Solanum lycopersicum: one gene and its partner. The protein of the gene in region 1 interacts with the protein of each later gene in a pairwise test. Links are inferred from orthologs where the notes say so. Each region holds a gene or a part of one and is shown in the gene's direction. Other genes may lie near its edges. The genes, in order: protein PEP-RELATED DEVELOPMENT ARRESTED 1, chloroplastic; phantastica.

Region 1 (4,262 bases):
ACACATGACAACCATAAATTTTATATTTGTATGTTATAACAAAGTTTGCATGGTTGCGCTCCATAGCAAACATATATATGTATAATTCGCTATACATATATAATTGAAGTGAATTGTATAAAAAGAAGTGTGTAAAATGAGAAAGAGAAAGAGATTTGGGCAGAAAATTGTATAAAATGAAGTGTATAAAACGAAGTATATAAAACGTATTACATAATTATAAGTGTATATGACGATTATATACAATTTGAGTTGTATAAAACGAGAAAGGAGAAAGGCAAAAGAGACTTGGACAGAGAATATACTATTGAGTCGAATTTTATAAAACGAGAAAGAGAGAAATTATATACAATTTGAATTTGTATAAAACGAGAAAGAGAGAAAGACAAAAGAGACTTAGGCAGGAAAGTATTTTTATTTTATAATTGTAAGTGAATAAGACGGAGATATATGTATTTGCATGTGTATATACAATTTTCTCTCGCTTTGTACAATTAGATACACAATTTATACAATTCTATTGTATAAAGCGAGAGAGGCGAGCAAAGGAAGCGAGCGAGAGAGGGAGAGTAGCGAGCGATAATATGAGGGAGAGAGTGACTGACAAAAAGTTTTTTATGAAACACAAATAAATCAAAACGGTAACTACTATATTTATTTTATATTATTAATTTGTCGTTCTATACCATTATCCCCATTAAATATGGATGATTCAAAAAGGTAAAAAATATATTGTAAACAAAAAGGGAATATTATAATAATACATATGCCATCTCACCAGGAAAGATGTATCAAATATTTTTATAAGGAAACAAAAATATTTAGGTGAATTTTTAATTCAAAAAAAAAAAATATGATGGGGATTTACTCAATTAGAATGGAGAAGGTGAAAATGACATGGACGGTCATGGTTTTTAACCATATGATGGTGGATTGACGTATTTTTCATTTCCTTTTTTCTGTTTTATAGATTACATATTGACGATTTTGGTTTGTAGTGTATAGATGACTTTGGAATTAATCATTTTAATATTTTATGAGTCGAGCGTATCACATAGTGCTTATATAGTACTATTTATATATTTTAAGTGATTTACATATCATTACACGATTCACACCAAAAGGACAAAGACGATGTCAAAAGTTATAAGCTTGTAGTTGTGACACGTTATTCAAATATAACAAAACAAGTGATAATAATAATGGAAAATGCTCAAAAGTTCCTCTAAATTATTCGAAATAACTTATATTTATTCTTAAACTATATTTCGGCCCAAAATTATGCTTCTTGTAATATTATTGGGTCAAAATTATCCTTCTTATTAATGAAACTTGTTAAAGGTGAATGCCACATGACATACCATATAAGCTCCCCAATTTCATTCATTTCCACGTAGACTAATAATAAGATTTTAATCCTAATTCTTCTTCTCATTTTTCTATTTCCATTTGAAACCATTTTAATCACCCCTTTCCCCTAATTTCTCGTATTCATTTCGAAAACTTCATATATTTTTATTTTCGCAACTCCATTGTGAAGCTTCACAAGTTTGGCCTATAAGAAGCTTGAAGAGTACCAAACTACTAAGAGAAACTGATGTATGAATTGAAGTTTGGGCCAAGCTTGCAGGCTAGAAACAACCATACTTAGTGCTATGAATTGAAGTTTGGGCCAAGCTTGCAGGCTAGAAACAAACATACTTAGTGCTATCTTCTTAAAAAGGTAATTTTAATTTAAATATGAATTATTTTAAATAGTTTACGAATATTTTGACCTTTTCCATAATAATAACAATGATCTTACCCCTCTCCCGCAATATCTCCATTTCCACCCCCCAAAAGAAAAGATTGTAATTCCGTCGTTGGTCATTTCATCCATGGCATTTCTGTCCATCCCTATCGTTTTCTGTGGAGCTACTCCTGCAAGTCTATCTCGTTACTCGACTCCATCACTATACTATTTTCTTCAACCGGAAATCCCCAATCAGTATTCATTGCAGCTGAAGACATCCTGCAGACTGAACCTTTCGGCATTATGTACGAGTAACGAGGTCGGCGCAGGTTCTTTGGCGGAGGAATTCGGAGCTCAAAATGGAAGAATGGAAAATCATGGACATGAAGTCGGAGATTTTGATACTTCTCAGTATCAAGTTCTTCTTAAAGGTGGTGAACAAGTTACCTCCGTCCTTGAAGAAATGGCCAAGCTAGTATGTTTTCCCTTAATTGTATTATATTTCATTTGTCTTTGTGATGATATACTTTTAAAACTACAATTCTTCTGTGTGTTTGATTACTAGAAAAATTAAACCCTAAACCCTTTAGGTGTTCATTGAATTTGTTCCTGTTTAATTGTTAATCAAGTTAAATATCAGAGGTACTAGGATTTCACAGTCCATGTGAATGTGCTTCTCTTAGGAATTTTATGAAGTCTCTGTATTGTTATCTGAAGGGTGTGGTCTTAATTCTTGATAGCTAGTAACCCTAGAAATGAAGCTTATCCTGTATACTAATTTGTGATGTTGAAATGGATAATGGTATGGATACAAATATGTAAGTAATAAAAAGATAGAATTTTCCCCCTTTTTTTTTCCGTTCAAGTCGCTTATGTGGTTACTTCAGTATGTCAGCTGGAGTAGTTATTCATCTCGTCAATATACTTTGTTGGATACATATTTTATGAAACAGTTGGAAGATATGAAGATGGATGAAGCATCTGAGGAGGTAGCAGTGCAATTGGCTGCACAAGGAGTGATTGGGAAAAGAGTTGATGAAATGGAGTCCGGGTTCATGATGGCCCTTGATTACATGATCCAAACTGCTGACAACGACCAGGATGATAAGGTAGTATTATTAAGGTTCCTGATCTTTTTTTTTTCTTTTTTTTTCCTTGTTATTTTCCCTTAACCAGTTCTTTTGTTCGTGGAATCATATTTCGATTTCATAGTATGCGTGGTTTATACTTCATAGTCCCACCTATCATTATTTTGCCATGAGCAATTGATTTATTAGTTTTCACTGTCGACACATCTGGTACATTTTCTGTGGTAAGATAATTTGTGTGCTGCCATTGGAGATGGATTAGTAACAAATAGTTGTTGTTGATGATATTCATGTAATTTTTGCCTAGTACAAGATGTAATGAAGTAATAGGTGTCTCATTTAGAAGCTTATTGATGCTGATTTCTCTAGTAAATAGTCAGGTTCTCTCATTTTAGCCTTTTCATCGTATGGGTAATTTATTTCTTGATAGAAAAAGTTGCCAAGAGCATCGGGTTGAAGAAGCGATAATTAAAGAATTAAAGGCATTAAAGGGAACCTTCTCTATAATCAATTTTCCTTGATTGTTGGCTAGACTGAATGTTATTTGATTAGATATCAAGCTGGATATCTGATCCATATTATAGTCTTTTTATATATATTATATATATATTTCCATTTTGTGCCCAGTTCATGTCCATTTGATTCCTGTAGAGTACTGCATTGATACAAGAGGTTTTCTGGGTGGGTATGTGATTAACAAAGTTGTTTCTTTTAGCGCAAATCACTCTTGGAAGTTATCAAGGAGACTGTATTATCCCATCTTACCAAGAAGTGCCCCCCTCATGTGAGTATGCTAGTATGCTGAATGACTACATTATTAGCAGCATTGATGCTCTAGTCTTTGATCTGACATTGAATTGGATTTGTATGTTTTCTAGGTTCAAGTCATAGGCCTGCTCTGTAGAACTCCTCAAAAAGAAAGCAGACATGAATTGCTCAGGCGAGTTGCTGCTGGTGGTGGAGTATTTCAAAGTGAGAATGGGACAAAAGTCCATCTTCCTGGGGCAAATTTGAATGATATAGCTAACCAAGCGGATGATATTCTGGAGGTAGGCTCTTAATGTATATGCATAGTCAGGAGACTAACCAGTTTTTGGTATTTAAGTCTAAAATAATTTGTTTTGCATCAATTTCATTTGGCTGCGGGTCCCTTAGGGTGCAGGTTATTAGAAACCACAAACTTTACATGGTATGGAACATCTGGTTTGTAGAGACCATAAGGCACCACACTGTGCATTATGTAACACATTTTGGAAAATGGTTAGATCAATATTTTCATCTATTGATGTTAAAACTTCTGTTCAGCCATCTTGGTCAGACAATTTGTAGTGTTGATGCTGGTTATATGTAAGCTGTAAGAAACTTGTGCTCAATGCTGAATTCATTATTTATTTTTGTTCTCAAGTTACTGAAATATTAATTTTTTATAAAAATGAAGAAAA
Region 2 (4,401 bases), about 39 Mb from region 1:
AGTTCTATATATCATAATACACGTAGGATAAAAAATGACCTGTAGGATGACATACAGGACATGTGTGTCTATTTGTTCAACTTTATACAAGTTTAAGTGTATATTTGTATACATCCAAAATTGAAGGGCATAATTATGTTTTGAAGCCAAGTTAAATAGCATATTTATATATTATGAAATTAATACGTGCTATTATTTTTAGTAATACATATTTGATAGCTTATTACTTCTTTTTTTTTATTTTATAAAACTCAGCACAAAACAATTCATGTGTACTATATATTATTTTTAGTACAATAAAAATGATTATTAATTGTAATCAATTTTTAATTGTTGTTAAATATATATTTTTATTAGCAATTGTCATTTTTTATATATATTTTTATAGTTTTTAGCGATATTGATTCTAATGACACTTAACTAATATCGGTAAAAACTTTAACATTATTTATTAATGTCAATATTTAATACTGCTAAAAGTTATTTTTATCGTAGTGACAATATTTAATAAAATAAGGATTAGATGAAAATTTATTATGCTATGTTTAATATTTCATCTTTTTTAATTTATAATTGAACATTGTACTCTATACACTGAAACTTTTAACATAACATCTAAAAATACATTTATAGCTATAGCTATAGTTCACATATTTTCGAAATTTAACTATAATTTAAATTGCCTTGTATAATCTGCAGATGAGTTAGTATAATTAACGGATAGGTTTATACCATTGAATATTTTTTTTTTGTATAAATTCAAATTAATAAATTTATACAAACAAAAATATATTAATTTTAAAAAATTATACAATATTATACACACATTCTAATTACCAACCAACATTCAAACTACAGACTTATCATAACCATCAACATCGATAGATGAGACCAACTTTAATAAGATATTAGAGTTCAAATTTTATAATAATAATAATAATGTGAATTTTTCATATAGTTGTGATTTAATGGTCATATTTATCGCAATAAATAATGATCTTAGACTTCAATTCAATATAACTATATGATTTGAACTTTTTACTATTTGAATCTTTCGCCTCTCACTTTACTTTGAATATATAATCTTGAACTTAAATTCGAAAGCTAAAATATTTTTACAATGAAAGAACTTATATTCCTTCTCAGAAAGTTTTCATCTTTTTATTTATTCGATAGAATTTTTATATTTTTATTCACTTGATAACTTAAATTCACAATATTAAAAGTAAAAACATAAATATTTATTATACGAGCAACTCTTTGCGATAATTTGAATTGAGGTGGTGATACTTCTAACTTTTTTTTTTTTTTGAATTTTACCCTCTAAGAAGATGTACAACACTAGTTGTATAATAGTGCGTGTGTACAAATAACCTTTCTGGTTAAAGACGCCATTGCCGTCTTCGTCATCACATTCTCTATACACGTCATTCTTCAAACAGAGAGGGCCATACCTTACCTCTTTTCTCTCTTATTACTCTGCATTTTCCCTTTATTTTCTGTTTCATCTCTCTTCTTCTTCTTCATTTTCTCTTTTGCTTAAACGTAGTGTATCCTTCAATTTTTTCTCTTTCTTTTACTCATTTTCTTGAAATATAATAAAAAAGATCATATGGGTCGAGCTAGAAACTGGGATGCCTAAGTTGTTTCTTGTAAGTTCTTTTGTAAATCTCTTAAAGTTTGCTCCTTTTTTTGATTCTGTGATCAAAATGATGTGTTCTGTTGTGGGTAAGTCTTATAAAGTTGTTTGCTTTTTTTTTTTTTTGGTTTACTGAATTGTGTTTGCTTGTCTTAACAAGAATTTATATTAATGGTTTGTATTTGGTGGAGATAAAGAATCTATCTTTTTGCTTTAGTGGTCTCTGCATTATCATTTTGGTCACTGCATTTTTTTTTTAATCTTTTTGCTCATATTTTCTTGAAATAGATTAAAAATGATTATATGGGTTGAGCTAAGAACTGGGATGCCTAAGTGGTATCTTGTGAGTTCTTTTGTAAGTCTATGAAAAGTTGTCTCCTTTTTTGATGCTGTGATCAAACTGATTTGATGGGTATTTTTCTTTTTTGACTTTATTGTGTTTTCTGGGAAGTGGAGTTTTTCAGTGCTGGCAGCTTGTTTCTTTATTTTTTTAAATACTGATTTGTGTGTTTTTGTTCTTTCAAGTATTCACATGTATGTCTGGTGGAGATAAAGAATCTATCTTTTTGCTCTAGTGGCCTCTGCATTACCATTTTTTCTGTCCCATATTGCACAATCTGGTTTCTGCATCTTTTCATGAAAAAAATACTGAAAGATCTAATAGGTTGAAGCAAGAATTGTGCTTCCTTTGAGGCTTCTTGTAAGATTCTCAAGTCTTGTTCCCTTTATGGTTCTGTAATCAAACTGATATGATGGATGCTTTCTACTATGTTATGTTTGTGTTTGTTTTTCAGTGTTGGATTGTGTGTGGAAATTTTTTTCTTAAGATGCTTGTCTTAAACTGAATTGTGTCTTTTTGTTCTTGCATTTACATGTATGGTTTTTATGCTATATGTGGAGAAGATAAGGAATCCATCTTTTGGCTGTAATGCTTTGCATTTCCATCATCTCTGTGCCTTTTTGCAGAATTTGGCTTCAACTGTAACTAGGAAAATGTTGAAATCTCTACCATGTTTGTTTTTGACTCAGATCTTACTAAGAGTTGTTTTTATATTGCTAGTCTTGAATCTTTCTATTTGTTGTCAATACATTTTCTGGTATAACTACCTAATTACATTTTGCATAAAAGTTCTCCCATCTTTATTGTGTTTTCTCACGTTAAGCTTGTTTTATTCTCTATCTTGATATATTGAAGATATGTGTCACTCAATTTCTGTGGATAGTCTCATTGTGGTTATCTGGTGTTTCTTGCTTTTTGTCTAGCTATTTTGATAGTGTATTCGTTTCCTCAAAAAACTTATTTTTTGAGCCTGAGAGTCCATTAGAGACAACGTCTCTACCCCACAAAGGTAGGTATGGTCTGTGTATTTCGTATGCTCCCGAAATCCCACTTGTGTGACTACACTGAGTATGTTGTAGTAGTCTCAGAGCTTGATGTTTCATAGATATTTTTGGACATGAAAACTTTAGTACTCTTAAAGGGTTATTGCAATTGAGCTAAATGAACATGTGTTAAGTAATCTAGGAAGAAGGGTGTTACTTAATTTGCATCATCATATTCTGCTGAGTTCTTTTTTGTGTTTGTTATGCACTTGCAATGATCTTGTACCTCAATGCTGGTCAAGAAGGATATCGATCTAGATAGTGAAGCCGATTGAGTATTGTGATGTCTGATTATTAATGATCCGTGTAATCATACAATTATGCCGGTACATTGTTAATATATTGCATCAAATGATTTATGTAAAGCATGTTTCAATCAATCTACTTGTGTGCACACACGTCTGCTTTCGTTTTTTCTTTACAGTCTTTTCTGCATATATCTTAGATGTGACCTTCGAATGTGGCTAGTCTGGTCTCTGTTCATGTTAATAGTTCAATGACGAAGGGTCTGAACAAAAGTAAATGTGAATATATTCTTCGATTCTTTTCTTATTTCTATCTGATTAATGATGTCTTCTAGAAATGCCAACTCAATTTTACATTATTTTTAATATTGATCTGGTCCTGAGTAGTGATACCAGATTGACATAGCAGCACTTTCTTGAAAATTATGACCTGATACCCCTAAATAACGCGGTTAGAACAGAGTTACTCCCTCTGTCCCAATTTTTGAGGCCGTGTTTTATTTGGAACTAGCATGTTGACTGTGTTTAAAATATGTACATCATTTGTTCTCATTATCTATTTTCTATTAAGTTTTGTATATGAGCAATCAGTTGTATTCTTCTCTTGGATATGTCTCGAGTACTGGAACATTGCATGAGTTTCCTTTGTTGAAGTCCTACTGAACGATCATGATCCTTTGTTACTGTGACGGTATTTTATTTAGGGGCGTTGTAATGACTTCCCATACAAGTTAAGATTTTAGTAACTACATTAAATGTGATGCACTTGCATGTACTTTGTTTGTGATCAATAGCTTGCTTAAGTTATGGTTCAGATTCTATACTCAAGTATTGCAAGTAAAATGGTGCGAAACATTCTTTCAGGAAAATTATGAGGAGTTTGGGAGGATGGAAACTGGTGTTTACACCTGGAAATGAGGGAGAGGCAACGGTGGCGAGCTGAAGAGGATGCTTTGTTGCGAGCATACGTGAGACAGTATGGACCAAAAGAATGGCACCTTGTATCACAGCGTATGAACACGCCCCTTAACAGGGACGCGAAGTCTTGTTTAGAAAGGTGGAAAAACTACCTCAAACCAGGGATTAAAAAAGGATCACTCACTGAAGACGAGCAGCGTCTTGTTATACAACTAC

What was found.
Region 2: the proteins of protein PEP-RELATED DEVELOPMENT ARRESTED 1, chloroplastic (region 1) and phantastica interact in binary tests that used the Arabidopsis thaliana proteins (3 or more experiments, as listed by UniProt). The link is inferred for Solanum lycopersicum from reciprocal best matches to the Arabidopsis thaliana genes AT5G48470 and AS1.

Annotation. Positions count from the first base shown.
Region 1 is NC_090808.1:43,952,581-43,956,842, forward strand, and holds the start of protein PEP-RELATED DEVELOPMENT ARRESTED 1, chloroplastic, read left to right. Parts: upstream 1-1,414; 5' UTR 1,415-1,877; coding exon 1,878-2,207; intron 2,208-2,685; coding exon 2,686-2,841; intron 2,842-3,535; coding exon 3,536-3,604; intron 3,605-3,698; coding exon 3,699-3,869; intron 3,870-4,262. UniProt on the Arabidopsis thaliana protein: Plays an essential role in early steps of chloroplast development. May be involved in the redox control of plastid gene expression by maintening the redox state around chloroplast nucleoids.
Region 2 is NC_090808.1:4,657,706-4,662,106, reverse strand, and holds the start of phantastica, read left to right. Parts: upstream 1-1,502; 5' UTR 1,503-1,652; intron 1,653-2,161; exon of another isoform or gene 2,162-2,339; intron 2,340-4,131; 5' UTR 4,132-4,181; coding exon 4,182-4,401.